Linked DNA regions of Rhinolophus ferrumequinum. The protein of the gene in region 3 purifies or fractionates together with the protein of the main gene of each other region. This does not show direct contact. Links are inferred from orthologs where the notes say so. Each region holds a gene or a part of one and is shown on either strand. Other genes may lie near its edges. The genes, in order: DVL3, AMER1, AXIN1 and LRP5.

Region 1 (7,027 bases), on a different chromosome or scaffold from region 3:
GCTCGAGGCCACTCTAGCCGTGGGTACCTTGTTCTCCCATCCACCCTCTCCTCAGGGCTGAAAATGTTTATTCTTCCTCTATTTCCCAAATCATTTAAGAGGGTTGGGCCTACCCTGAGCTTGACAAATACTTCTGGAGACCAGATGGGACTTGGAGAACCTCGCAAACCAGGACCTCAGAGGATAAGCCTGGAGAGACAGCAGCCTTCCTTCTCAGACCCCCTTTCCCGTCTGTCAGCAGGGGCCACTGGCCTCCGCCTGACCCTCCTCTCAGGGGGCTAGGATAAGTGGCAGCCCTATCACCTCTACCGTGTGCCGAGGCTCAGCATCTGCCCCAGAGAGGATGCGTTTGTAAAATGGTGATAATAATAATACCTACAATTGTGTGATTAAAGCCTTAGACGTTGGAGCCAGATTCCTGATGTGGAATCAAGCTCTGCCACTAACTAGCCAGACTGTGTGACCTTAGGTAAGTTATTTCAGTTTTCTGTGCTCTAGTTTTCTCATCTATAAACTGGGGATATTACTACCTATTTCATAGGGCTATTTAAGAGGATTAAATGAGTAAAAATTTGGAAAGCATTTAGATCAGTGCTTGGTACACTGTAAGCACCATAAAAAGAGTTTGTTAAATACATATATATATATATTCCTCTATTATTAGTCTTCTGTGATAAGATAACCCTATTAGATCTCTTGCTCATTAATCCTTCTGGGGAGAAAAACAAAATCAATCTCCTCCACTTCATTTTTAGCATTGTTCTCAACCCTGTTAAAATGGCCTACTCTGATATTTTGCAAAGGATGGTTTCAGTACGTGATGTATGCAAGATGTGTTCAGGTGTTACCTGAATGAACATGTAATTCAATAGTAAATATTTATTTTTAACATATATTAGAAAGAAGTATAATTAGAAAATCAGACCTGTGATTTCATATTATTGATTTGGTCAAGCTAAGAAAGAGTGAGTGGGCTGACAGTAGATTTAAAGAACAATATTAAGTCAACGGTGAGCGGATGTAACGGGGGCCCTCCTATGACTGTAGTTAGGCCTGGCCTGACAGCAACCTGGCGGAGTGGGATCTGCCCGGTGCACTGGACTTCGCTAATTTGCCCCTATCTCATATCCTGAGGAAGTATCTTGGTCTCTTCTAACTCTATTCTTCTCTTACCAGGCCAAGGCATCTGCCCCCTCACTCCTACCCTTTGCGTATGGATCCCTCTTCGGAATCTTCTAATCAGCGGTGTCTGTCTCTGGACTGAAGCCAAACAATCATTAAACACCAGAAGTACCCCAGGGTAGGAATGACAACAGAAACAAGAATAGTTAGAAGCTGCACAGTACTTCCTACTGTAAAACCAATTTCACACATATGGGCTCATGGGCTCATCAAACCCTGAGTTGGGGGGTGGGAGGGAACAGTGACAGCAAAACATGCCAGGCAGAGGGGAGAGAAGGTGCTTGCTTCCTAATACCAGGAGGGCTGAGGTCCTGGGAGAGAAACCAGACTGATGAACACTGGGAAGAAGAACGTCTCCCCTCACTCAGCTCTGGGGCCTCAGCTGCAAAGAGCAGTGCAGGCCTCAGGCTATTGCTGGAGAGGCTGCCTTTAGGCCTGGAGGGCTGGGGCAGGCCTTCCCCACAGGCCTCCAGGCCCAGCGCCCAGTTAGTATGGGGGCCTCCTCCTCCCCCAGTACCCTGGGAGTTGGAGGGGGGTGTGAGGGGATAAGCCAGGCTCCCCCTCCCAGGCCAGCTGCTACAGAACCTTCCGGCTCCAACATTCCATCCCCTCTTAAAGGGGAAGTTGCTGCTTCCAAACTCCGCCTGTCCAAAGCCCTGCAGCTGAGTGAGGAGAAGACCCCGCCAGGGAGCGAAGATGAAGAACGCCAAGAGACTCTTCCGGCCCTCCCACCCAGGCTCTGAGGCCCTTTCCAAGGCCACCATCTGGAGGAAAAAGGCCCCAATTCTGAGGGGAAATCAACATCTGGGCTAGTGGGGACTCCTCATCAGGGGCTCCCTTGACAACATCCCACACAACCCCACGAGGGAAGGGGGGCAGCTAAATAAACATCAGGTCTGCAGGCCTTAGCTTACAGCCTAGCGCCTGAGCACCCCCGCTCCCCCTCCCCCCAGTTCAAAGTCCCACAGCACAGCCCTGAGATGCACGGTACTCCAAATATGGCTCGGAGCTGTGGAGCTGAAAAGATGGAGAAAGCGAAGGCCGAGTGCCAAACTCCTCAAGTCTGTGCTAAAAACGTGGCTCCCTGGGCAGGAGAAGGATGGGGGACTCGAGCTCTAGAACTGGGTGGAGGGGTGGGGGTGTGTCTGTCTATGTGGACCGCTGGTCTCTGAGAGGTGAGGGGACTTCCTGGGCTGGAACTCTAATTTATCTTGGGGAGTTGAACGTCCTCCTAAACTAGGGAGGCCAAGGTACCTCACAAGAGAGAAAGGAGAGTCCCTAGAGAGGCTGGAACTCCAGCATCTGAAAAAATCAAGAGGAGCCCAAATGGCCAAGTCACCTCCTAGAATCCTGAGTAGGGCTCGAAGCCAGTGTCGCAAGGGAAGTCCAAACTGGCCGAGTGGCCCCTAGAAGCCGAAGGGGACGGGCTCCCCGGGAGGCGAGGCGGGGGGCCATCCTCACCCGAAATCGTCGTCCATAGACTTGAAGAAGAACTTATAGCTGGGTCTCTGCAGAACGCCCTTAAAGTCCGCCAAGGTGACGCGCTCGGCGGGCAGGGGCAGCTTCACCAGGTACGGCGTCTCCTGCCCGTCCAGGTGGTAGATGATCTTGGTCTCGCCCATGGCTCCGGCCTCTGGCCCGGCGGCCCGCGCACGGCCTGCTCGGGCGGCCGGGCCGGGCCTCTCGGGCGGCGGCGGCGGCTCTCGGCGCGGCCCAGTGGCTCAGCCCAGCTCCGCGGCCGGCCACGGCGCCAGCTCCCTTGTTCTCCGGCCGCTCCCGGGTCCCAGCGCCGCCTGCCCCTGCCGCCGCCGCCGCTTCCGCTCCCCACTCTCCCGGCTCCGCTGGCGACGGCGACTCTTCCGGTGGCCGCGGCCCTCCCGGCTCTGGGCTGTCGCCCGGCCCGCTCCCCTCCCCGGGCCCCGGCGCGACCCCGCCCCGGCGCGGCCCCGCCCCCGGCCCCCGCCGAGCCGCGCTGGCCTCGCGGCAGATGGCCTGGCTCTCGGCCGGGCCCCCAGGACACCCCGCCCACCCGCCGGGCGGCGAGCTCTGACTCCTGCGCTCCGGTCCCTGGCCGGCGAGAGCGTGGCAGCGGTCGCCCAGGGCCCCAGAGATGGAAGGATTGATCTCACCAGGATGATTGCGTTCCTGGACTCTTCAAAGCCCAGGCTTTGGACCCAAGGGGATCGGTTGCTCCTCGCAGCTGGGAAGGGGTGTAATGCAGGGGTCTCTTTGGTCCCCAGAGGTAGGTGGATGGGGCTTCTGACCAAGTACCACTGGGGAAAGTGATCTTGACATGGACCTTTAGGGTCTGTTAATAAGCATAAGTAGCCATCATTGAGTCTACCAAATTGAGCTCCTTGAGGACACTATAGGATCGAGTGCTGATTCCTTCTTATAACCTCAGTACCTAGATGCAACGCAGTGGTGGTTTAATAAATGGATTGAACGCAGAACGAGTGCAAGAATGAAGATGGGTGCATTACTGGGACAGTAAGTCTCAAACCAGAAGTAGGTATAATCATTTCTAACAGATCCCCTTACCCCTTAGCTTTAAATTTGTTTAATAAATATTGAGTGCCTACTATGTACAAGGCATACTGCATGAGCTACAGCAAATAGAAGACAGGTAATGCTGCCCCGGACCTTTACTTATTTGGAAAGAGGCTTGTAAATAAATAACTTCAGAGTGACAAGTGCTATGAAAAAGATAAAATAGAGTGATGTGATAGTAACAGGGGAAAGAGAATTATGTGTGGTCAGAGAAGGCCTCTTCCATTTGAGCTAAGTCCTAGAACAAATGAGAAAGCAGCTATAAGGTCTGGCCTGGGGGAAGAGCATTCCAGGCTGAGGGCACAGACAAGTCTAAAGGCTCAAGGCAGAAATAAACTTGCCAGATTTGAGGAACCAGAGGAAGGCCGCTGTGACTCCAGGGATAGTGTTAGATCAGTCTGGGAAGGTAGACTGGGACCATCTCACATAGGTCCACACATCAACAAGTGTGGGCTCCTCCCACTCCATTTTGTACAGTTGCCAAATAAGCATTTCAACAGTAAGTACCTCTTCAGCTCAGAAACCTCTTCACATTCCCTAATGCTTTCCAAATATCCTGATCATGATATCCAAAGCCCTCCATAATCTAACCTCTACCTACCTTTGCGGCCTTTTATTTCATTATGTCCTATCTAAAATTTTGACTTCAGCAAATCAAACTATTTGCTAGCCCCTGCACACATGTATATTTTTATTTCATACCCTTTACTTTAAATTCTTACCAAAGCAGTATGTGTGCATAGTCAAATAGTATTAGGAAAGTTTTTAACAGCTGTCCTCTGTCCCATTTCCCTCCCCACCCCAGTATACTTTTTTAGTTTATACTATCTCTTGAATTATGCATTCTAGACATCGCTTATTGATTTCCAATCTTGACTGATGGATTTCTTTTTCTTCCACCTCCCCCTAACCTCTTAAAATAGTAAAATCCCACTTTTTTAAAGTCAATATAGTACTTAGTATTGACATTTTGACTATGAATAAATGCTTCCTTTACAACTTGTTTCTCGTCATTAACCATTGCCTTGCCTTTTCATTTGCTTTGCTTTTTATGTAATATAGTGTATCTATCTATTCTTTCCACATAATCTAATAGTTTCTCAATACATATTTTGTTAGCTCAGTCAAATACAGGCATATGTCAGAGATACTGCGGGTTTGATTCCAGACCACCATAAAGCAAATATCACAATAGTCACACAAATTTTTGGGTTTCCCAGTGCATAAAAAAGATATGTTTATACTATACTGTAGTCTGTTAAGTGTGCAATAGCATTATGTCTTAAAAAAACACTGTAGATACCTTAATCAAAACATACTTTATTGCTAAAAAGTGCTAACCATTATCTAATCCTGTTGAAAAAAATGGCACCAATAGACTTGCTTGATGCAGGGTTGCCACAAACCTTCAATTTGTAAAAAAAAAAAAAAACCAAACCCAGAATGATCTTGAAATGCAATAAAGTGAAGTTCAATAAAATGAGGTATGTCTGTATATTAGATAATCTATCCATTTTCTTCCCTGGAGCCTTCAATTCTGTTGCTCTAATCTGCACTGTTGACTATCTTTGCTTGTGCACAGCAGCCACTTCTCTGTATCATACTTAAAATTTCCTTTACTTCTGCATGTTGGTTCCTCATTTCCTAGATACTTTACTCCTTTGCTTTAGGAAAGCACATTCTCGGTAGCTTCCCTTGAAAGCATGGGAAATAAAATTTTTGAGAACTTGCAAATCTGAAAATGATTGAGTTAAAAGTAATTTATCTTCAGAATTTTGAAGGTTCAGAATTTATCTTCAGAATTTTGAAGGCACCACTGTCTTCTAGCTTCCAGTGTTGCTATGAAGTGATCAGTTTCGTCTCTTTATTATCCTAAGCCTTTGAACACGATTTGTTTTGAATTCCCTGGAAGTCTTTAGGAAGTTCTCTTTATCCTTGGGTTCTGAAACTCCATGGTGACATGCCTTGGTGCTTATTCACTGTGCTAGGCACTCTTTCCATCTAGAAATTCAACCATATCTTCTTGAATTACTTAATAACATGACTACCATTTCCCCCATTGCTTCTGCAACTGTTAGATGTTGGACCTTCAGGATTGATCCTTAATTTTATTTTCTCCTTTATCATCCATTCCTATTTTAAAATGATTTCACCTTTTTGCAAGATCTCCTTAATATTATTTCCAACCTTCCCCCTATCCAATTGGATAGGTAAAATATTCATAATTGAAAATTCAAGAAGTGTGTAAGGATGGAGAGTCTCCTTCCTGTTTGGTTCTCTGGTTCTCCAGTTCTCAGCAGAAGGAAACAATTCATTTATTTTTAATTTCTAAGAACTTTTTTTGTTCTCCAATTCTTCCTTTTTATAACACTTTCTTCATAGACACAGTATTTTTCCTCTTTGAATTTTGAAAATAGCTTCCCCCCAGGCCGCACCAAGTTTTCAAAAAAGCTCCGTCTTGTCAGTTTCCTTGGTGTCAATTTTTTGGTCTCTGCCTTCCACACTGGAAGTTTCCTCAAATATTTGATGGCCCTTGGCCGTCCATTCACATTTAAGAGATACCAGAAAGCTGACTGGGAGCTGTTCATGTACAAGGCTTATTATCTAACAGGTTTACTGTAGGGTGATCAAGTGGGGGAAAGATCGCTTTTTTCGAGGAAACAAAAAATGTATTTGTAGGCTTTTTCTGTAGTTGTTGTTTGCTTTTGCCTGGGGATATAAATCAATGTGTGCTGATATTTAGAGCCCTACCACTCATATACTTCCACTTAATCCTTCATTTTCAACCTAGCTCCTCACCCCCATCCCCACCATGTCTGTTGTTAAGTCTAGAAGCTCTAATAATTTACATTTCCCCTGAGGTTCTGGAATATCATGAGGTTCTGAATATCATTCATTATGCTGGGCACTCATGGGCTCTGTCAGTCTGGAAACTCATGATCTTTGGGTTTAGGAAACCTTTGTATTTCTTTGATAATTTCCTCCCCACCGTTTCTCCAAAGGCTAAATCTCCCATTTCTTGCGGAGGAGAAGTAGGGGTAGTCACCCTGCTGGATTATATAAGGTGGGGGTTGGGGGGGCTTTTTCTTATAGAGGTCTTTGTCTGAATCCCCTCCACTCGATGCCTGTTCTTAGACCGTCTTTACCCTCTTCTGCTGAGCCTTTTCTGGGTTCAGAAAGTCATGTTGGTTTGCTTGTTAATAGCCATCCCAGTAGGTAGAATCCATTTCCTTCTGCTCTGCTAAGTCAACTCTTCCATTTTTCATTTTCCAGAATGTTGATATCTCTCATTCAT
Region 2 (7,205 bases), on a different chromosome or scaffold from region 3:
GAGGACTTCTGAGGAAGGAGAGGTCATCATACGTTGCAACAGACAGGCAGGAAAGGCACTGAGAAGGTGGGCCCAGAGCTGGGGCCAGAGAGGAAAGAGAATTTGGACAGTGTAGTATGAGTGGGTTTGGATGTAGGGAGGAAAGTTATATAGGACAGATATGTTAGGTGGTTGTTTGTCAGTTTAAGGCAGGGCAGAGGGCAGGTCCAGCCCTGGGCTGGAGACGCCAGGCTGCAAGTAGGTGGTTTATGTTGGTATTGGTCGTGATGAAAGGAGGTGAGTGTAGTATGGTATCTGCAGTACTTGCTGGTGTCACAAAGGTCCCCAGCTAGTCTTTCTTCCAAGTGAGGGATTTACTGGGTCTCATTGTCTCCTCTCAATGGGTTCTCCACCCTCAGAGGTTGATCAAAGGTCGAAAAGGGCCTGCCAAGCTCCCTCTCTCCTGTTCCTCAGAAAGGCCTAGAGTCCACTGCCAGAGGCACACCGCTTTGCAGTGACTGAGTGGTGGGCGAGGCCGAATGAGGGGAGACGCACTGGGGGTGAGGGCTCTGCTGGAATCCCCATCGATGGGGCGGGTATTCCAACAGGGCAGTGCCCTCCACCCTGCCCATACCCACGCGGATGCAGCAGGGGGGCAGAGCCGCAGAGGGAGGTGTTTGTGTGCAGGACAAGGCTCGCCTTGACCCCGCGGCCCACGCCAAGAAGAGCCTGGCCAAAAGGAGACCGGCTCTGCAGGGCCACTCCAGCTGCTGCCTGGGCGCCTGGTCTGTGGCGTGCCTGGTGGGCACAGCCTCTCTAGGCTGGGGAGCCTAGGCAAAGGCGGGCGGTCACTAGTGTCAGAGGTGTCTGCAGCAGACAATGACAGCGGCTCGGCGGGCTGGATATTTTAAGTAACAGAGAAGTTAGAGGGTTTGGCTGCTTCTCTAGCTCTCTCACACACACTCAGACAGTGCTTTCCCTACTACAATAATTGTTCGCTCGGCTTCTTGCACAGAAACCCCTCCCAACACCGTGCTTATCGCTATTTTTAAACGGGAGGCTGGCGAGAAAAATGCGGCCAGTGCCCTCTGAGACGGAGAGGAGGGGAGGAGAGGGGGGAGACAAAGCGGCCTTGCAGCTCTAACCCAAAGATTAGCTTGAGCCGCAGCTCTAATCCAAGGTCCAGGGAAAGTCCCCTTGCCAGTCCGCCTGTCCGCGGGGGCAGGCGCCAGATGTGCCTGGAGGCCCAGGAGCAGGGGGCGCGGCTGGTTGGGGACACATGGCCGAGGTTCTGAAGGGAAGTGGGCAGCCCACAGGCCCCACTGAGCTCCCTCAAGGAGGAGGCAGACACTATAGATACCCCAATCCACGCCAAAGTCAGTGTCCGTCGAACCTAGGCCAGCGCGCAGGCTTCCTCTGCAGAGGAGAGAGACAGGAGATCTGCAGGGGAGGGGAGGGGCGGCCGCCGGGACGCTAGGGTGAGCAACACCCGCTTAACACAGCTGTTCCAGCTAATGTGCTACAACAAAGCTGCAGAGATCCCTGCCTACAAATGTACCGCTGGGGGTGCTGCCTGGCTGCTCCCCTCCTGGGACCGCGCGGCAGCACGTGTGGGCCCCATCCCCGCCTCCCCAAGAACCCGGAGGCATGGCCCAGGCTAGCCCGCCCGCCTGCCCGCCTGCCCGCCCTCTTCTCCCACCCCATAGCCTCGGTGGCCCGCGCCCAAGGGACTCTGCTCTGGCCCTCACCGGACAGTCCTCAAAGCGGGTTCCAAAGGGGAGCGGAGAGCGGCCCGGACGCCGACTGGCCCAGCCCTAGAGGCCCTCTGCAGGCGGCCAGAGCGGAGCACGCGGGACTGCACCGGACGGCGGGCAGGCGGAGCCTCCTGGCTGCCCCCAACGCTTACCCGACCGGGTCCGGTCTCCAGCCCGGTTATTGTCTGTCCCGCAGCCCTGGCGGATGCTGGAGCTTTGGCTGCCGCGGCTGAGAGCGCCGCCACCGCTGCTCCTGCCACCGCCGCCGCGGCTCCAGTCACCTACTGCACTGGCTCCCCTTCCCCAGGCTCTGGGCAGCTCCCCCATACCCCCTCCCCACGAACTCCACAGCCACAGGGTGGGGTGTCCGCGGTCCGATTGGCAGGCGTGTGGCCCAATCGCCAAAGTGGGAAGGCGTGCCCCGCCCCGCCCACTGCTTTCCTCTGTGCGTTCCCTTTAAATGCAAATAAGCCCGAGCGTGGTGTTGGCAGGGGGTGGGGAGGGTGCAGAACCCCTCGCAGGGACTCCCCACTCCAGCCCCCAAGCCGGTGGGTCACTGCAGGGAGACACCGTGAGCTCGCGGGGCCGGTCCCGCCCAGATAGGGCTCGCTGGAGTCCTGGAGCTCGGTTTCGGTTTTGCATGCGCTCGCATTTCCGTGGTCGCGGTGTAATCGCGCTGCAGTGCCGTGGCCTCCACCAGGCAGTTTATTCCAGAGTGAGAGACAGGCGGGGAGAGGCGGGGCGGAGATGTTGGGGAGCCTAGGAGACTGCAGAGCCCCTTGGAACCGAGCCCAGCCCAACCTTAGGGGTAGAGAAGGCCTCGCAGCGCGTGCCACCAGGCCGCTCAGAGAAGGGACTCACCTGCCAGGAAAACCGATTGCAGCGCCAGCGCCTCAGTTTCGTCCGCCTCTTCGGCACAACAGGGCCCTTAGGGACGATCTCGGCCAACTTCCACCCATTACCAAAGGGCCTACTGCTGCCCAGAGAAAGGGAGGCGCATCCCCAAGGTCATCCAGCCCGCCACCAGCGACGTAGGCAGATTTGGAATTCAAACCCGGGGCTCCCTGTCCAGGGCTGCTTTCACTTTTCTTCTCTTGAGAGACCTGTTTCTATAGTTTGACCCTCACCCAAATTCCCCACCTTTCACAGAACTCGAGGGGATTCTCAAGGTCTGCAGAGACACCCCCCACACACACACACACCTTTTAATGGTGAGCCAGGCTTTTTGCAGTTCCCTGTCCCTGAAAAGTCTAGCTATTGAGAGAAAAAGCTTGTATGAGCCCCGACTGGAGGTAAAGGCTGCGGGTGGACAGAGGAGGCCTGTAACAACCCTGCCAGCTGCTGTGTCTGGGTTGTGGCAGGGGAGCCAGCCTGAACTTGGGTCTCTAACTAGCCCGAGGGCATTAAGTGGCATTAGTGGCTGCCAGGGTCAGGTGAGCTGAGGCAACAAAGAATCCAGTTCTACCACTAGCTCAAGAACATCCAGAAGGCCCAGCCCTAAAACTCTGTGAATGTTTAAAAACGGGGGAGGGAGGGACAAGGGTGGGGGGGGGGCGGAAGCACGGGTGGGGGTGGGATTAAAGAACAATGTCTGCCAATTTTGCACTGTAGAAGGAGTGTTCTCTGCTGCTGTACTGGGTACTGTCTGCCTTGAAAAGATCCAGCTGCTAAACTGGTAAGAGAAGGACTGCTGTCTCTGCATGTGTGGAGCACAGGAACTGACATGGCTGCTAGGGCTGGGATCTGGCTTCGGTTCTGCCTCAGACATGAAGTATGACCTTGGCCAATCCCTTTTCCTCTCTGGGCCAGACTATCACCCCATCTCCACAAGGAGGGGGTAAGACTAGTCAAGCTCCTTGATTTCTTCCAGCTCTGACGGTTCAACTCAATTCTTTCTATAATATTTTGAGATGTTCTATTATCTTCCATGACATTCTATATATCTCCAACAAAACCCAGCAATTTGAACATGAGACCTCCTATCCTAGTCCCAGGTCTAAATAAATGGCAGGAAGGAGGGAGCTGCCACTGGCTGGCTCATTGTGCAACTTTGTTGAGCAAATACCTTCTCTTCTCTAGCCTCAGTTTCCCCACCTGGATGGCTGGACTATTCTATTTCCCTGGAGCTGTGCTTTCCTGTTTTACAAAGTCCTGATTCTCAACTGTTGGACCTGATTTGAAGGTGTCTTTTTTTTAATGCCTCCTTCATAGGCTTCCCCACTGCCTCATGCCTCTGGTTGCCTGCCACCTGTTCACATTTCACCCAGAACCTCGACTCTTTGAAGTAGGCCAAAGATTACAATTTGGAGAACACAGTTTCCAAATCTGGAGCGCAGGGAAACACAGGTCCAGGGCAGCCTCAGCTGTGGGAAGGGGAGAGAGGAATTGTGCAAAGTAGTCAAGTGGTAGGCTTGAAATAAACCTCAGGTGAGGGGGCACTGTTGTGCTGCTCCTGGCACAGGATCTAGTCTTCCATGTCCTCTGCCCAGCTGCCAAACATTCTGCCATACCAGTCAGCTTTGGGACTGACAGATATTGGACATTGGTTTGGGCCCAAAAGCATTAGGGTTTCAGGAAAATGAAAGTAGTCTTTCACATGCTAAAGAGGTCTCCCAGCTGGGTGGCTTTCTTCTTGGTCCTGATATTTACAAGTCTCAGGAGGAGATTGTATATGTGCACATTAAAGGGGAAGGGCATGGGAGGGGTGGCACAGCTTCTTGTTTATATGGCCCACTCCTCCCCAGAAACAATGTAGGGAAAGACCAATTGTGGGCACAAACTTGTACCTCAAAACTGCCTTCTTGAAGAGAGAACCCTCCAGGCCCCCATTCCATGTGATGACTGACACATGGTTAACTTGTTCAGTTACTATATGGGCGGGTGGTGGGGGCAAGAATATTTTCTTAAATTTCTTCACCTAAAAAGATAATCTCTCTGCTGCCCAGTATCTTGTGGCTGTAGTGAAAAGCCCATGAGAACAGATGTGCAGGCTGTGTGGAAGTAACTCCACAAACTCACGTAGACAGACTGGTCCACATGAGTACAATGCTCATTTCTTTCTTCACCAAATGTTCCATGGGCATGGCCTCCAAATAGGCATTGGGAAGAGGGGGGTACAGTGGTAATGTTATGGGAGAAGAGGTCTCTGATGATGGAATTGTGAGAGGAGCTGGTAAAGGTGATCTGGAGCATTGTGGATGAAGAGATTCCTTCTCCCCAGGGTTGGGAGGGGCATCAGAGAAAAGTTCCCTGGAGGATGGCCTTGCTGATTACTCAAGTCAGAGAAGTAGGGGAAGGATTCCTGCTCAATCCAAACCCAATCAGTGTGAGAGGGTGTGGCAGGTTGGGCAAGAGCTAGGATTCTGGACCCCTATGGCTGAGTATTTGTATAGGTGGAGAGGAAGAAATGGAAATTAGGCTAGAAAGATAGGACTAGGACCAAAGTATGACAGACCATAACTGTTCGGTTAAAGTGAGGCTCAGCTAGCTAAGTTTGTCCTTCCCAAGCAAGCAAGGGGTATACTGTAGTGGCTCTGCTACCAGACTGCCTAGGCTGGGATGCTGGCCCCACCACTTAGGAGTCGTGTGACCTGGGCAGGTTATTTTACCTCTCTGAGTAACAGTTTTCTCTTCTGAGAAATAGGAATAATAATAGTATCCATGTCTCAGCGTTGTGGTGAGAATTAAATGAGTATTCTATGTGAGTGCTTAGCACAGAGCCTAATACACACAACGTTCTCAATAAATGTTAGCTGCTGCTGCTGTTATTGTTGTTGGTCTTCATATGATCCAATGAACAGATGTTCAAAGTTATGATACGACTTTGAAATCACTTTTTGATATAAACACACATGAGCTTGTGATTCCATATACATAGATTTTTTTTTTTTTTTGATTGTGTAGAGCCAGACTGAGTTTCCCAGGAAAGCAGGTCTCTTTGTTCATCTTTGTATCCTTAGCACTCAACAGAGAGTTTAGCACAAACTTAGTGCTAAGTATATGTTTGTTGAACATAGTCAAACGAGGCATCTTCAGGTCTAATATCAAGCTTAGTTGCCAGCATCCAAGGTGTGATGTTGCCACTTTCTATCTCTAGTACCAACTCTGTGCCAGGCCCTGTGTTTGGTGTCGCACACATAATGGTGAAATAGAGAGCTTTTGGCCTCAGAGCAGCCAGTGTGGTAAAGGAGGCATACAACCTATGAGACAAATGCCCTGCAGTTTCCAACCGGGGCAAGGCACTGGAGAGTGTGGCAATCCACTGAACTAAGGAATATAGGAACAGGATTAGGAAAATGTAATGATTCTGTTTAGAACATTCTGAGTTTGACTTTGAAATCCCACCTCTGGGCCTTTGCACTGTTGTTCTTTTTGCCTACAATGTTTGTCCTCTGATACTGAGATAGTTTCTGCCTCATTTCCTTCAGATGTCTACTCAAATGTCACCTTATTTTAGTGAGACATTCCCTGGACACTTGAAATATAAAATAGCAATTTCTGTTCCTATCCCCTTTACTCTACAATTCCTTAATTGGCCTTTTTTCTTACCGATAACATTTTTCACCTCCTGGCTTATTATTTTTATTGTTATTTATTTATTTATTTTATTGCCATCTTAATCGTCTATTTCCCATCATGATAATGAAAACTTCATGAGAGCTGACAGACAATGAATAAAATACATAAGTAAAATATATACTATGTCAAATGGCAATAAATGGCATAGAGAAAAATAGAACAGGGAAGGGGTACAGGGAGTACTGTGTTTCCAGGAAAATAAGACCTAGCCATACCATCAGCTCTAATGTGTCTTTTGGAGCAAAAATTAATATAAGACCAGTATTATATTATATTATATTATATTATATTATATTATATTATATTATATTATATTACATTACACCCGGTCCTATATTATATTAAAATAAGTCCGGGTCTTATGTTAATTTTTGCTCCAAAAGATGCATTAGAGCTGATTGTCCAGCCAGGTCTTATTTTCAGGGAAACACGGTATTGGTGAGAGTGTGCTATTTTAAGCAGGGCAATTGGGGTAGCCATTACCAAAAGGTGACATTGAAGCAAAGATCCACGGGAACTAAGGGAGTAAATCATGAGACTATCTGGAGAAAGAGCATTCCAAGCAGAAGGAACAGCAAGTACAAAGGTGAGAACATGCTGCAATGTTAGAGGAACAACCTAGCAGCCAGTGCAGCTGGAGCAGAATGAGTGTGGGGGAAAGTGGTAGGAGAGGGAGTCAGAGAAGACATGGGAGGCAGATGGTGTATGGCTTTGTGAGTCATTTTAAAGACTTTAGACTTTGTTGGATTTTGAGCTGAGGAATAGCATGGGGAGCTAGCTGTAGCAGCAAGGGAGGAAGCAGTGAGACCTAGAAGGAGACTTCTATAGTGATCCAGGTGAGAGATTATGGTGGCACAGATCAGGGTGGAGACAGTGGAGGTGGTAAGAAGCAGT
Region 3 (7,593 bases):
ACTCATGGGGGCCAGCAGGGGTGTAGGGGGCTGTGTCAGGTCTCCTGGTGCAGGGGACATAGGATGAGCAGGGACCATTAGGACAGGGCAACAATAGCAGCAGGGTTAGAAGGGGACATATCATGCAAGCAGCAGTGGACACAGCTGACACTGGAACCAGCTTGTTTGAGGCAAAGCCCCTGTTCCTGTACCCCTAACTCCCTATCTTGGTGTGGGGGCCAGCATCACTCCTGGGGAGTCTGCCTCGGGCATTTTCAGCGGAAGGGCTGGTGAGAAAACTCCACACAGCAAGAGGGATGCAAAGTGCCAGCGTGGACAACACACCTGCCCACCGGTGTGAAGGGAGCGAGGAGCTAAACACAGGAGAAAAGAGGCTCGGGGACCCCAGCCCGGAGTCAGCCCAGGAAGCTCAAGGCAGCACCTTCTCGCTGGTCCTGGGACCTGACTTGGGGCAACTGCAGCAGTCACAGGATGATCTGCCACCCTGCCCACTACTGCCCAATGGGTCATCTCTGTCCCTTCCTACAGGGTCCTCACCCCTGCTGGTCTTGCTCTGACCACTGATTGCAAGGTGGTGCCTGCTGCAGAACTTTGTGGTTTCCATGTGATCGTAATAGTGATTTCACACAGAACTTCTTCCTGAGTGTATATGGAAGAGAATGGACTCCATTCCTAATTCTGCTCTCCAGCCATAACCTGGTATCAATGCCCTGGGATAGTTCTTGAGTCCTCTTGCCTTTCTTTGCACACGTTCTATAGTCATAAAAATGGGTACCCTCTGTGTGTGGGCTCTTAGCTTCTCTCCTTGGTGTTACATCTTGACACCTTGGTGCAATGGCTCCATGTCCTCTGTTGGGCCCAGACAACACCTGGTCCTCCCTGCTGAGCTCAAAACTGATGGAAAAGCACACACCCAGGGAGGAGAGATGGAGCCCGGGGCTGGGCTGGTGGTCAGGAAGGTGGCTGGCCAGTGTGGCTGGGGCTTCTCCTCCAAAGGGAAGTCCATTCCTCTCCCCTCAGAACTGGAAGAGCCAAGGCTCTCTACCTGCCTGCTCATCCCCACCCCCTCACCTGGGGACTGGGCAAAGCGGGCAGGAAATGGAGTGCCTGGAGGGGGCTCATTCTGAGTCTCCCGTCTTCCTCTGGAAGCCTGAATCAATACGCTTCCTCCTGTCCTTTCGTCCCAGGAGGAGGATGGGGACCTTCACAGTGTCCCATCTCTGCAGCTAGTCCTCTGCTGCCAGTTTTCACCCTCCTGCATCGGTCCATGCCCCAAATGCCTCAACATACCTTCTTGGTGCATCTGGGTGATGACTTTGGAACCCTTTTTAGAAGCTGTCTTCCTCAGCCAAGTGCACGAACACCTGTAAGGCTTCAAAGCTCACTTTATTTCACAGTATTCCCTGTCTGTCTAAATCGCAGAAAATAATGTCATTTCTACTCCTAAGTGTTTCGTGTAGTTCCTGGAAAGCCTGAAAAAATGTCATCTTCAGTTAATCAAATCAAAGCCTCTAGTGGCAAACTTCTGCTCCCAGGGAAGGGGGGTTCATTTTAGCGGACCTCTGGAAGGCAAAGGGGGTGCTCCGCCATGGAGTTCAGCTGTTCAGAAGTGAGGCTCCTGCAGTTGTGTCTCCTCTCAGCTCTGGGTGGCTGATGCAGTCCCCCTGCCAGGTCATCACTGCTCCATTGCAGGTCCCAGGGCTGCCCTCCCTACCTCCCTCGTTCAGAGTTTTCCCAGAGCTTCCTCCCCTGATCTGCCCCCATGCCCACCCAGCTCAGACAATCTCCTGTCCGTGCCCACAGCCATAACCCACCATAGAGGGCTGTTGAATTTCCTCCAGGCTTTCTGACTCCCTTCCTGTTCCTGCAGGGCGGGGGCCCCGAGGAGCCGGAGGCCCGAGGACCCTGTTCTGGTACCAGGGCCTGGGGACACCTGCCACCATGGGCCAGGAGGAGGATAGACATGGACACAACCCCAGGAGCCTGGCCTGGCCGCAGCAACAGCTCTGCAGAACCAAGGCAAGCGTTGGGGGCCCCTTTCTGGGAGAGGGGTGGCAGCCTGAAGGCCAATGTCCAGGCCACCCAGGACTCCCAAACCCCACAGAGACTCTGCTGTGCCATGAAGGCCACCCACTCTGTCTCCTCTAAGCCTCTGAAGCTAAACAGGGGAGGGGAAGGGCTGCAGGGGCATCTCCTGTGCCCAGCACTCTGGGGCCTGGGGCCATCCGCCATCCTGGCTGGACTGAGATGAGTGTGACACCTGCCTCCAGGACCCTAGTGGGGCCAGTGTGGGTTCAGAAGTGCAATTTCTGTGGTGTGCTGTCTTCACCTACAGCCCCAACCCCTGCCTAGCCTGACCCTAGGTATGGTGACCCTAGGAGGTGGCCTGGGCCCTTGGCAGGCTGAGATGCTTCTAGTGGCCCTTATCTCTCACTGTTCCCCTTTCCTACAAAATCCTGGGCACTGGGTGCTATGCTGAGCCCTGGGAGAGGCTGGTACCACTGGTGGGCTCCTGGGTGGGACGTTGGCTGGTGGGTCAAAGAAAGCCCAAGCTGGGACTTCTAGCCCTGCCTGGGAGCCATGTAGGATGAGGGTGGGCAGCAAGGGTGAGCAGTGTACGGGAGATGTGACATTAGAGGTGACCTGGGGGGCTTCCAGGGGCAGCATGGTGGACACATGAAGTGGGCAACTGACCAGACACACCCAGAGGAGGGTGGCATGGTGGAGACACCAGCAGAGAAGGGCCCTGAAAGACTGTGGATACCAGAGAGCAGGCTGCTGGGGAAGGTGTGGATGGATGAGGTGTTGGGGAGCCCTGGGATAGGAGGCGGTGGAGCAGGTTTCTATGGGCCTCAGTGGTAGCTTCCTTGTCTGTAGAATGGGGGCATGGCTGTCCCTTAGGGGCTGCCAGAAGCATTTCTCCAGGTGCCAGGCCCAGCAATGCTGTGCAGAGGATAGAGTCCTGGGTGGTTGTGACTGGTGGCAGAAGCAATTCTTTAGGGACATTAATCAATTCCTGGTATTGACAATCCTTCCCTTGGGGAGGGGTTGGTGGTGGGCTTGCAACAGAGTTGGCCAGCTATGCTTGCAGGTCAGGCAAGGGCTGCCTCGTGACAGTGAGGGGGATAAAAGGTGGTAGGTGCAGGGATCGGGTCACCTAAAAGCTCTTGCTCTCAGGACGGTGTGGGCATGTGGGACTCACAGTCATTGGTGGGAAAGGGAGCCCTTGTCCAGACCCTGGATGGTGCCTGGGAGAAATGGAGGCAGGTGGGCCCAGCCTGGGTAGGGCCTCAGCCAGTCGCAGCCCACAGCTCTTTAGAGGTTGGGGCTCCTGCCATATTTGTTGGATGCCTCCTGCCTACTGTGTGCCCTGGCCCTGTCTGAGTCCAGACTGCCTGGGCACTCAGGGAGGGTGTAGCCCCAGACCACCTTTTCAGGGTCCTGGCCAGCTGGGGAGCAGTGGGCAGGGAGAAGGGGGAGACAGGCTAAATATCACCAGGGGCTCAGTTCCTGGTCAGCCTACCTCTGCCTTCCAAAGTGCCCAACTCCTGGACGTCTGCTTCTTTCAGTGTCCTGGGAAGTTGGTGGCCATCCTGCTGCGGGTCTTCCTGTCCAGGGCCAGCCAGCCCCTAGATCTGCAGTCCCTCTGGGCACCTTGCCCACCCGGGCGCGGGCCGGGCCTGTGGGTGCCGACCTCGGAAGCCCTAAGCTGGTGGACACCAGCGTGGGCAGCAGAAAAGGGCGGCAACAGGGCATGCACCCAGCGGTGTCCACCACATTGGGGGACGGTCGTCCACTTGGCGCACTGGTCCAAGCCTCCTTGGTGACTACAGTTCTTCAGGGACCCTCGCGGGGGCGTCTCCCCGACGCCACTACCCTGGACTCCACAGTCCAGAGGGACATGCGCAGTTTCCCAACGCCCCCTCCCGAGTCCCCTCAAGACAGCGTCCTTGCTCCACTCCCCGCTCACGGCCCCGTCATATTAGCATATATAACCCCGCCCACTCCCATTCCGGCTCCGCCTCACGTTCCAGGTCGGCCTGGACGCTTTTGGCCCCGCCTCAAAACTCAGGGCCCACCCCTACGCCCAGGCCCCGCCTCCACGTCCTAGGCTCCGCTCCCACGTTGGAGGCTCCACCCCCATGCTCTTAGCCCTTCCAGGCGCTTCGGGTCCCTCTTGCATTCTCGGCCCGGGTCCCACACTCTCGGCCCCGCCCCGCGCCCTCGGCCCCTCCCCCACGCTCTCGACCTCGACCATGTGCTCTAGCCCCGCCTCCACGTCCCAGGCCTCAAACCCACGTTCGAGGTCCTACCCGATGCTCTTCGCCTTATCGGTGCGCTCCGGCTCCGTCTTGCGCTCTCGGCCCGGCTCCCGCTCTCGGCCCGGCTCCCACCCTCGGCCCCGCCCTCACGATTTCGGCCTCTCCCCCACGTTCTCGGCCAACCCCAAGTCCCGGTCCCGCCCCACGCTGTCGGCCCTTCCCTCGCTCGGGGCTCCGCCCCACGTCCTGGCCCCGCCCCAAGCCCCGGCCCCGCCCCCGCACTTCCGGGCGGCGCCGGCGGGGGCGCTCCGGCCTGGGCTTCGGCGCTCTGGGCTCCGGCTCCCCGCTCGGGGAAGCGATCGCGGCCGCCGCCGCAGGACCGGCCGGAGTTGGGCCGGAGCCGCGTCCCCGCGGAGCAGGCCGGTGAGAGCGGGCGGCCGGCCTCGGCGGCGCCCTCGCGGCCTGCCTGCGCCCGCCTCCGGGCCGCCGCGCCGCCGCCGCGATGGGGGCCGCCCCGGGCCGCGCCCCCGCCCCGTCCTGCCCGTCGCCCCGCCGCTGAGCGCATGGGCCGTGCCGCGCCGCGCCGCTCCGGGAGTCGGGCCCGGGGCCCTGCCACCGCTGCCGCCGCGCGCGGGTGAGTAGTGCGGGCAGAGCGCGCATTCCTGAGGGGCGCGGGCCAGTCCGTCCGCCCATTGTAGGCCGCGTAGGCCGGACCGGGCGGGCTGGGCGCGGGACCCGGAAGAGGGGCTCGGCGGGTGCGGGCTGGGAGCGTGTGAAGGGAGGCTGTGCGGACCGAGGGCGGGTGAGGGGAGGCCGTGCGGGCCCCGAGTGTGTGAGGGGAGGCGTGCAGGAGTGCATGGAGGCTGTGCAGACCGCGGTGATAGGCGAGGAAGATGCGTGGGGACCGAGGCTGTGAGAGCAGGTGTGTCAGACGGGGGTGCTAGCAGGGGATGTGGAAGGCGAGGGCCAGTGACATTGGGATGAAGAGTGCCGGGTTTGGTTCAGAAAGGGCAGACTCTTGCTCTAGGTGAAGACCTAGGATTCTGAGAAGCGGTTGGGGGGGTCCTCCTCGAGGGGTCTGGGGTGTGCAGCTGGTTGGTGTGTTGGATGGCATGGTGCTGCGTGCGTGCGGTGGTTTGTGAGCCTTGGGCATGTTTCAGGGTGTGGGTGGGGTGCAAAGGAGCTGCTGGGGCCAGACATTGTGTGCAGGGGTTCTAGAGAGAGGCTGGGTAGTGGCGCGTCCTGTTCTGCTATTCCCAGCAAAAAGTAGGACTGAAGGAGCCTGAAACCCAAGGAAGGTGCCTGAGACTGGGCCCCGGCTGTCTGGCTTCTCTGAATGGCTGTCATCTTCCAGGGTGATGCTTTGTCCCCCAAACTATCTCTTGGGTATGGGTCTTCAATTCTACGTTCACACCACCTTTTGGAATTCAGCCCCCCACGAAACCAGAGCTGTATGACCAGGACAGTGAAACTTTTAGCATAGAGGACAGTGGAGAGAAAAATAATTCTCTGGGGATTTTTCTCAGCTCACCTCTCAGATAATTCATAAAAAGTTCTTACTGTGCAGCTCGGCCCCTCTTTTTTGCTCACACGTATGTTCTCTGCTTCTTTAGGGCGAATCTCAGGCAGACTGGGACCCACAGGCCCTGTTTTGGAGAACACACAGTCTAAACCTGACCTCTCAAGATAGTCAGCAGCGTCAGGGTTTCGCTTTTAAGAACTTCTGTTCGGGAACAAAGATGAGAAAGCATATAAAATACAGTAGTGTTTCCTGTTTGCTTTTCAGCAGGTGTTGGTGTTTCTTGGATTCCTAGTTTCAGAAAAGCTAAGTGGATTTTGGGGATTTACATGGGTCATTAAGAATTTAAGTCACGGGGGAATGGTTTATATGCAAAACTGTAGCCCTTAGCCCTTCAAGAGTTTAATTGCTGACGCTTCCACACTCCACATAAATCAAAAGTTATATTTGAGTCAAATAAATATATACACATCTATAGCATTGAGCTGGCTGCCGTGGTACCCAGGGGTTATGTCTTGGCAGTGACTAAAGGAGACTTTAAATGTGGTATCAGTTGTATGGATTCCTTTTATGGAACCCTTTTATTGATGGTGGTTACACGCTATTGGCCAGATTCAGTGCTTGTGGGCATTTGACTCTGACCTGAATTAATGTAACTGCTTTATGTGTGATTTGTGTGTGTGTGTACACTAAATGTTTGATGTACTTCTCTGTGGAAACCCGGAGCTTGCGGGAATCGGAGCACATTTCAATAACGTCAGTGATCTGGGAAGTTTGTTCATGTGCTTCCAGAGACACCAAAGGTCTTCTGTCAGTGGACAGCCAAAAACAGATATGATTTATAAGGAATGTTTTTTCTGAGCAATGAAAAATCATTTAAAATGATTAGAGGGACTGGTTCACACGTGAATTAAAATGTAAGTCTTAAGACAGCCGCAGTTTGGTCATAAAGGGCTAGATCTTGAATTGACTGCTCTTTGTATGGCACAGTAGTTCAGCATCTGTAGCAAGTGTCATTTTCCTTTATGTCAAGGAATTAAATATTTATTAGTGCCCGTTAGTCGCCAGACCTTGTGCCAGGTGCTGTGGGTCCTGCAGAAAATGTTTAAATCAGGCTGCCACAAATAATTGACAAAGACGTCATAAAGCACCTTAAGAGAAAGTGACAGTGATTCATAATGAGCCTGTCGTTCTAACACAGTGACTTGGTTCTTTCTCAAGGCTGATTAACTGCAGAGTATCTCTAAGGATCCGGCTCCGGGGGCCGGGTACAGGCCCTCTGGTATCCGGGACAAGAGGACATGAGACATTCACAAGCTGGGGTGGGGCTGAGACATCACAGGTACTCATTCCATGTTGATGGTGCTCCAAGAAAGTGACTTTGCAGTCGGAGTGGTCCATGAGCAGCAGGGCGCCACAGCCCACCATCCTTGACCTTAAGAAACAGGCTGTTCCTGCTGAGGCTGAGATTACAGCCTACCCAGTAGTTTTCATAAGAAGTCATTAGCCGCAGAAATGTCACTGGGTGCACGTAATTGTGACCCAGCCTCCATCTCTGGAAGCTTCTCACTTCTAGCCATCAGGAGCTGCTGGCAGGTGAAGTTGGACGCCGAGTGAGAATGCAGATGTGGCGGGGGATTCCTCATAGGCCAGGCCCCAGAGTGTGGCGTGGTGGCCAGGGAGAGCCCCCCTTTGTGTTAGTACTTTATTTTGCTTCCTCCGGCTTGTTCAGTGCTCCAGGCACTTTGGACCTGACATGCTTGTCTCCGGCCCACTTCTGGGCACACCACTTCCCTCGTGGCAGGCTGTGTT
Region 4 (7,991 bases), on a different chromosome or scaffold from region 3:
TGGTAGGAAGTATTATATTATTAGCCCCATTTTACAGAAGAGAAAACTGAGGCACACAAAGGGAGAGTCAGCTGCCCAAGCTCCCCTCCCAGAGTAGGCAGCAAGGCGCAGATTAGACCCCCAGCCACCTGGGCTCTGTCCACACAGTTCAGCACCGGTCTCTGTGTCACAGCAAGAAATGAGTCAGATAGTAAACGAGATAACCAAGGTCACACAGAGAAGTACAATCCAGACTGTGTAATAACAGCTTCTAGACCTTCCAGACCAGAAAGATCAAGGACCCCGTTACACAACAGAAACTGCAGCTCTGCCACCACCAGTCCCTCACCCGGGACTGGGATGGTGCCAAGGGTTTCTCACACAGCATTTAATGCTCCCAACTGCCTGGGCTTGGGGGGGAACCAGGTGAGGATACTGGATGCAGAGAAGCTAAGTAAGTCGTCCAAAGTCAACCAGCTGCTGAGCATGTATGTAAACCAGGTTGGTCTGACCCCAAGCCCCCCCCCCCCACTTCAGCCCTGACGAGCCCCTGCCATAGGCAGGCAGCCATGCTTCGTCCTCACCTGACTGCACCCCCACACACACCCCCGCCCAACCAGTGTGCAAATTCTGGCAAATGCCTGAGCGGTGACACAGTGCTGCTGAAATTAGACGGGTTCCAAATACGACGGGATCTCCACAGCAAATGCTGGATCGTTTGGGTTGACTGGGGAAATTCTTGGATCCGAACGGGAGGTTACAGGCATGTGGGCCCTGCTTTGAAAAGCACAGAGTCCTTTGGGGGGGGGCTCTCTCAGTGGACTCCACACGGCATTTAGTTTACTCAACAGCCACCCGCTGGGCCCTCCCAGTGGGCCAGTCCTGGACAGGCTGGGCCTGGAGCAAGTGCTGTGGGGACAGAGGGGAGCGGCCTGGGCCATTCCCAGTACCGGGACCAGGAACAAAGGCACTTCCGTGGGCTCACAGCTTCAAATTGCAACAGGAAGCAATCAGGAAAAATAATGAGCTACCAACTTACTGGCTGCACTCCGGACGGATGCATAAATCGAACACAGAAATCAGGGACATACCATATCAAGAACAGCCCCAGGACTTGTCCATCCATTTTAGGCCTGGGTCACCCCATCAGCTGGTGCACTAAAACCCTCGTGCTGACATGCTTCCTAATGTTAAAATAATCAGCTCTATTTCTGCCTCACACACAACTGAACGCCACACACGATTCATCTTCTTAGGGGCTCGAACCACACAACGACAGGCATTCGCCTCCAGGAACCATCACCCCGAAAGGTACAGGAAATCCCAAACTGCAAGGAAGTGCAGATCAACAGAGCCGGCTAAGAAACCCCACCTTTAAAACAAACATCTTCCCAAAAAAAACCCTTTTGCCTCCATGTTCCAGGCATTTCCGGAAAGAAAAGGAGCAGCGTTGGCCTGAACTACCCAGATACTGTCATTGTTTTGTCGTCACCTTGTTTTGCTAGTATCAGACATGGCCGAGAAACGTAAACACGTTCCTGAGAGAGACAAATTTGGGGGGAAACCACTGACAGTCTCTAGGCTTGGGCTAGGAGGCAGGGGGACTTGAGGAAACCATGGCCTCTCTGCAACACCCCCCCCCCCCAAACCTCAGTGGAGGGGCCACAGCCCTGGGAATGTGACCACAGAGCCAGGCCAGTACACCTCGCTGCAATGTCCACACTGGAAATATCCAGAGAGACAGCTGTTTGTCTTGTTTGTCTTGAAGAGGCTCAGACAAAGGCACCCGAGGCCCCCTGCCCCCCCCAAAAAACGGCCACCAGCAGAACAGCAGCCCCAAGAGCACAGGACTTGCTGGCCGTGTCTACTTGGCCAGCCACACTGCAGAAAAACAACACTCACGTCAGAAGATAATGATTTAGGTAGCGAGAGACTTGCTTCAAAAACCACATGGCAATCTCCAAATTAAAAGAACATGTGTAGCGTTTCGCAGGCGCTTAGGTTTCCTGAGCCCTCCCGACCTCAACTCCACCCCTTGGGACACACCAAAAGTTGGAGAGAAAGGTCCCCAGCCCTCCATCTCCCCAAGGCTGTGCCCAACTGAGGCACCAGCACGCTGCCCCACCACGCCACGCTCTGGGACCAGGTCACCCCCGCGGTGGCCCCACACAGTCGGCCCCTGGGGTGGACACGGGCCGGGCGTCACTGTTTGGGGCCCCAGCGGCCAGACGTATCGTCCAGGCACCTGGCAGGTGTCAGTCCGTTTGGAAACCTACTGCGACGCAGATGAAAGGCCAGCGCAACAGGCCAGGCCGCCCCGCGCCCTGTCTCAGAACTTTTTCTGCAACTTAAATCAGTTCTCGGAGCTCGCAGGCCGGCTGCGCGGCCATCGGAAACAGGCTCGCCAAAGAGTTCCCAACGCAGGGCGGCCAGGCCTGTCTCCGGGCCGAAAGTCCCCGCTCGGTGCCTGCCCAGGGTCCCAGCACGGCCTCGCCCGCTGGCTTCACGCGGGCGCACTTCCGAGCGCGCCCCGGGGCCCGGGCAGGTGAGGACCCGCCCGCGCCGCGCCGCACCTGGCGGGGTCGGCGCCGCCTGCGCACCCTCCTCGCCGCCCCGGGACGCTCCGGACGGGCCCGGCGTCCGCGGGAGGGGCCCTGGCGGGCGAGACAAAGGGACCGCGCGCGGCCCCCGGGCAGCGGGGACGGCGGGGAGCAGCGGGGATCCGCGGCGCGCGCCCCAACTCGCCCCCAACTTGTAAAGTGGCTACCGCGCGCCGCGCACTTGGCCGCGGGCCGCCAGGGCGTCCGGGCCATTGTCCCTGCGGCCCGCGCCCACCTACCCGCGGCGGGGGCCAGGCTGCAGCAGAGTGCGAGCAGCAGCAGCGGCGGCGCCGGCCGGGGCGGCGCCGCCTCCATGTTATCCGGGGCCGGCCGGGCCCGCGCCGCGCTCACTCGGGCTCCATGGCGCGGCGCGGCGGCTCCTCGCGCGGCTCCGGCGCCTGCCGCCTCCCCCTCGGGCGCCGCGGACCAGGACGACGGGGGAGGAGGGAGGAGGCGCGGGAGCGGAAGCCGCGCCGCGTCTCCGCCCCCCGCCGCTGCCGCCCGCCCGCGCCCCCCGCGCCGGCCGCGCCCTCCCGCGGGCGCCCCCCGGAGCCGGCCGGCGGCGAGGCGGTCATTGCGCGCTCTCCCCACGGCCCTCCCTGCGCCCCCCGCCTCCCGCGGGGAAGGCCGCCCGGGCTCCTCCCGGCGCAGGGTCGGGCTCGGGGCTTTCACCCCGCAGGGCCCGGGGCCCGGAAGCAGGTGTGTCACCTGTAGGGCCGCAAGTACCTGGTTTTTACCGAGGGGGAAACTGAGGCACAGGGTTGTTGGGTTTTTTTTCGGGGAGGGGACATTGCCCCCGGACACACAGTGAAGCAGATTGGGGGCTGAAAGCCAGGGGCCCCGAGCCAGGTCTGTGCACTTCCCCGCGACCGCAGCCCCCACGGCAGGACCGGGTCGGGCGGCCAGGCGACACCTGTTCGCACTGGTGAGGTCACCCAGGAGGGCAGAGGACGACGGCGAATCGGCGCAGGGCGCGAACAGACTTGTAAGCGGATGAGAGAGTGAGGCAGTAGCTACACGGGCTGGGATTGGGGTGGGCCTAAGGTTTTATTTTTAAACTAAACGGACGCCCTCTACATTCATTGTGGTACAGACTCTGAGCGAAGACACGCTGGTCTTCTCAACATCCTTCTAAGCGGACTGAGCGAGAAAGCCCCTCTAGGATGGCAGACCTCATCTCTGACTCCGCCAAGCAGGCCCTGAGCTCCTCATCTTCCCAGCTCTGGGCCACCTGAGCGTCCAGCTTTGCCTGGACCCTCAGGGCACAGGAGGGACTTAGAGGGAGCACAGCCCCGGCTCTGGAAACCACGGGCCCCAACTCTGGCTCTGCAGCTTCCTAGAATCAGGTGTGCCCTTGGGCAGGTCTAAATATAACCTTCCCGGCACACTTTCCTCCCTTATAAAATAGGGAAGCAGTGCCTACCTTGCAGGTGCGAGAGAACTAGCGGTAAATCACCAAAAACTGATACTCACAGATGCGAATATTCTTCACGTACTTGTGACAACCTTACAAACCTAGTGGTCGGGCAGAACCTCTCTGTCCTGAGTGGGGCTGATATTCTAGGGAGGCAAGCAAAAACAAGAAGACAGATAAATTTAAAATTAAAAAAAAAAACCAAAATACCATTAACAGACTGAGGAATGCCATGAAAAATGAAGATTATTGTACTGCAATGTCTGGGGGAAGTCTGAGGTAGGGAGGTAGAGACGCCTGACAAAGCAGTAGGAGGAGCTAGCTGGAGCCAGTGCAGATCAGACCTGGACCCCAAGAGCAGTGGGGAGCCATCGTGGGTGTTGAGTAGCAAAACCCTTGCTGATTGCTCTCTCACACCCTGTGCCCAACCCTAGAAGCACATCCTGTTGGCTCTACTTTCAAAACAGATGCAGACTCCCGGCTCTTCTCATACCTGTGCTATCACTACCCTTGTTGGGGTCCCCTCTCACCTCCATGGGTCTTCTGCTTCTGCCTTGACCCCCTTCAGCCTAATCTCACAGCCAGAATGAGCCTGTTTAAACAAGTCAGATCACATCCCTTCTTTGCTCAAGAATCTTCTCTGGCTCCCATGTCAGCCAAAGGCTTTATGGCAACTACTGGGCCTGATCTGGCCACACCCTTCCCATTATCTCTCCAACCTCCTCTGCACCCTCCTTCCTCTCCCTCACCCTGCTCCAGACACAATGGCCTCCTCACTGGTCCTCAGACACACCGAGCACACTCTTGCCTCAGGGCCTTTGCACTTGCTGATCTCTCTGCTGGAACTGTTTTACCCCAGTTAGCCACATAGTTTATTTCCCCACATCTTCGGTTGCTCAGCCAGGCCTTCCCTGACCCGCCTTTGAAAATTGTAAACCACACCCCCTGGAACACGCACCCATGCTGCCTCTTCCTGCTGCATTTCTTCGCTTTACTTTTCTCCTTTGCACTGAGCGACATCTGACAGACTAAGTGTTTAAACTTACCTTTCTTCCGTCCAAGAATGGAAGCTCGATGAGAACAGAGACTGTCCTTTGTTTTGTTCCCTGTGTATCCCCTGAACCTAGACCAGGGCCTGGCACATAGTAGGTGCTTACAAAACGTTTGTTGAATGAATGAAGTGAAAACATCTGATTTACATTTATAAAAGGAGCACTCTGGCTGCCAAGTGGGAACAAGATTGTCAGGAGGGAAGAGGGAATGAGGGGACTGGGTACCATAGTAGCCGCCAGGAGAGATGGCAGCTTGGACTGGCAAGGGGTGGGGAGCTCAGGAATGGTGAGAAGGACCTGGATTTGGGATGCTTTAGGAAAAGCAAATGGGGCTCACTAAGGCCACTGGCTGTGGAGAAGAGGGGAAGGGGGCCCGAGGTGGCTCGCCATAGGAACTACGCTAGGTCTAAAGTTCAAGTCAAGTTTCTAAATCTGAGAAGGGATACTGAGGAGCTGAAGACCTTACGCTCAGTTATGCAGATGATTGAAAGTAAAATGATCCAAGAATACAAACAAACAAACATTGGGATTCTTTGTTCTGGAGGAGGAAGGTGGCAAGCTTGATTGTCAGAATGGGAGACTTCAATAAATAGAGAAGAGGGCATTTAAGTCAGGGGATGGCGGAGGCTGGCAGCAGCTCCTGGGGTGCCCTGGGGTTTCCTGTGCCAACTCTTGGGGTGTCAATTGTAGAGACCCCCCCACAGGAAAGGTACTGTGCCCCAGGTCTTCAGGCATCACAGCAATGACTCCATCCAAACTTTGAGAAAAGTCATTTGTAAAGAACAAATGAGAATGAGGTACTATTCTGCAGAATTCCTACATCACAAGGGCAGTAATCTTTACATTCTTCACTAATGTAAGAAGCAGCTGGAGAACGTGTTAGGCTTCCCAGAAGGCTGCCTGTCACAGCTCATCACGCCACGAAAGTTTCCTTAGGTCTCGCGTTTGGAAATGTTCACTCTCAATTTATTCCTCAGATGCAGGTTTCATCCCAGGGAAGTAACAGGGGCTCAGCACCTGTCAGATCTAATAGTTTCTGGGGACAAGGGCTCAATTGGGGTCCATTCAGGGCCCATCGAAAGATGCCACCTCAGCCCCGTGACATTTGGGGAAAGTGCCTTTTTGGTTTCCCTCCCATGCGGGAACATGCTGACTCTGGAGAGTTATTCTGGGCACGAGAGCCCTCCCTCCCGGCAGGCCTGGCGGCTGTGGACAGAGGTGTGCCTTAGGCTCCCAGCATTCCCGGCTCTCTGAACCACGAGCATCTTCCTGAGGGCAGCTCGGTGGAGGAGGGCAGAGGGAATGTCCACTGACCAGCCCATCCCTCAGATCCCAGAGGGCCTCCCCCTGCAACAGCACCACCTCCGAGCAACCTGCTCCAGGAGCAGGCAAGGGGAGGCAGCCACCAGCGCATGGTGGTGGGCAGTGCAAGGCTTAATTGGCAGTGGAGCCACGGCTCCTGTGGAGACAGCTGGGGTGTGAGGGACACGGGCTAAACTTCCCCTCTGAGCCTCAGTTTCCTCATTCATAAAATGGGAATATCTGCTCAACTGTTTATCTCTTAGTGCTGATGTGAACTTCATCCAAGAGAAGATTCATAAAAATGTTCTTTATACTTTGAAGCCCTGCATTCACGTGACTTGTGATTAGTGTGGGCCCACGATAGGGCACAAGAGCAAGTGTGGGTTAGGCAACCCCGCACACTTGCTCTTCTCTCTCCGATAGTTGGCATCCAGCCCTTAGTTTCTGTAGCCCTGAGCTTCCCTCCTCCTGATCTGTGGCTCGTCATGTGACTCGATCCTGGGGGAGCATTAATGCCACGTGACTGTCTGGTGCACCCAGCAGGGTTATTTTCAATACAGATTAAGAAGTTGATATTCAGGTTTGATATCCCTTTTTTAGCTCTTTAAAGACACCTATAGTGGGCTGAATAGTAGCCCCCAAACAGATATGTCCGCACCCTAATCCTGGGAACCTGTGACTGTTAATGTGTTTGGACAGAGGGTCTGTGCAGGTATAATTTAGGTAAGGATCCTAAAACGAGGTCATCCTGGATTATCAGGGTGGGCCCTAAATCCAATGACAATGGGCCTTAATACAGAAAGGCAGAGAGAGGGCTGGCCAGTGTCTAATGCCGAGGTTGCCGGTTCGATTCCCACATGGGCCAGTGAGCTGCGCCCTCCACCACTAGATTGAAGACAACCAGCTGCCGCTGAGCTTCTGGAGGGGTCAGATGGCTCAGTTGGTTAGAGTGCAAGCTCTCGACAAGGTTGCGGGTTCAATTCCGTGTGGGATGGCATGGGATGGTGGGCTGTGCTCCCTGCAACTAAGACTGAAAATGGCAAGTGGACTTGGAGCTGAGATGCGCCCTCCATGACGAGATTGAAGGACAACGACTTGGAGCTGATGGGCCCTGGAGACACACACTGTTCCTCAACAATATTCCCCAACAAAAAAATTAAAATAAAATAAAAAATCACTCTTCAGTACAATGCCTTTTCCTACATAAAAAGAGACAAAAGAGATGTCCTGACTGATCTTTTTTTAAAAAATGCTTCAAAAATAACTCTGATGATATTAAGAATTGTATTTTTTAGATATGAAGAAACTATTCTAATTATGTAGCGGAGTGCTCTTAGGAGAGCTAAACTATTTAATGGTGAACCGTCATATTGTCTGCAATGCACTTTCAACATATTTTTGGCAAATATGGCAAAACCTTAACAAATTTTGAATCTAGGTGATCAAATTATGGATGGTCACTAAAAAATAAAGTTATAAACTGGCCACAGACTGTGAGATAAGGAGTGTTTTAACCTCCTGGCGGGACAAATACGCCTTCCTAACACCAGGAAGGTGGTGCCACGTGGGACTTTTTGGACTCCTCCGAGTTCCTGTTGGAGGACGGTGACAGAGGAGACCCAGCACAGGACCTTGGGACCTCCA

Evidence for each region.
Region 1: the proteins of AXIN1 (region 3) and DVL3 purify together in Homo sapiens (affinity purification with western blotting; 3 studies listed by BioGRID and IntAct, with this or other methods). This does not show direct contact. The link is inferred for Rhinolophus ferrumequinum from reciprocal best matches to the Homo sapiens genes AXIN1 and DVL3.
Region 2: the proteins of AXIN1 (region 3) and AMER1 purify together in Homo sapiens (affinity purification with mass spectrometry; 4 studies listed by BioGRID and IntAct, with this or other methods). This does not show direct contact. The link is inferred for Rhinolophus ferrumequinum from reciprocal best matches to the Homo sapiens genes AXIN1 and AMER1.
Region 4: the proteins of AXIN1 (region 3) and LRP5 purify together in Homo sapiens (affinity purification with western blotting; 3 studies listed by BioGRID). This does not show direct contact. The link is inferred for Rhinolophus ferrumequinum from reciprocal best matches to the Homo sapiens genes AXIN1 and LRP5.

Annotation. Positions count from the first base shown.
Region 1 is NC_046285.1:60,962,892-60,969,918, forward strand, and holds the start of DVL3 (segment polarity protein dishevelled homolog DVL-3), read right to left. Parts: upstream 3,014-7,027; 5' UTR 2,805-3,013; coding exon 2,644-2,804; intron 1-2,643. UniProt on the Homo sapiens protein: Involved in the signal transduction pathway mediated by multiple Wnt genes.
Region 2 is NC_046284.1:78,553,865-78,561,069, forward strand, and holds the start of AMER1 (APC membrane recruitment protein 1), read right to left. Parts: upstream 3,019-7,205; 5' UTR 2,595-3,018; intron 2,061-2,594; exon of another isoform or gene 1,728-2,060; intron 1-1,727. UniProt on the Homo sapiens protein: Regulator of the canonical Wnt signaling pathway.
Region 3 is NW_022680357.1:2,361,046-2,368,638, reverse strand, and holds the start of AXIN1 (axin-1), read left to right. Parts: upstream 1-4,592; 5' UTR 4,593-4,896; intron 4,897-7,593. UniProt on the Homo sapiens protein: Component of the beta-catenin destruction complex required for regulating CTNNB1 levels through phosphorylation and ubiquitination, and modulating Wnt-signaling.
Region 4 is NC_046294.1:4,389,075-4,397,065, forward strand, and holds the start of LRP5 (low-density lipoprotein receptor-related protein 5), read right to left. Parts: upstream 3,010-7,991; 5' UTR 2,895-3,009; coding exon 2,819-2,894; intron 1-2,818. UniProt on the Homo sapiens protein: Acts as a coreceptor with members of the frizzled family of seven-transmembrane spanning receptors to transduce signal by Wnt proteins.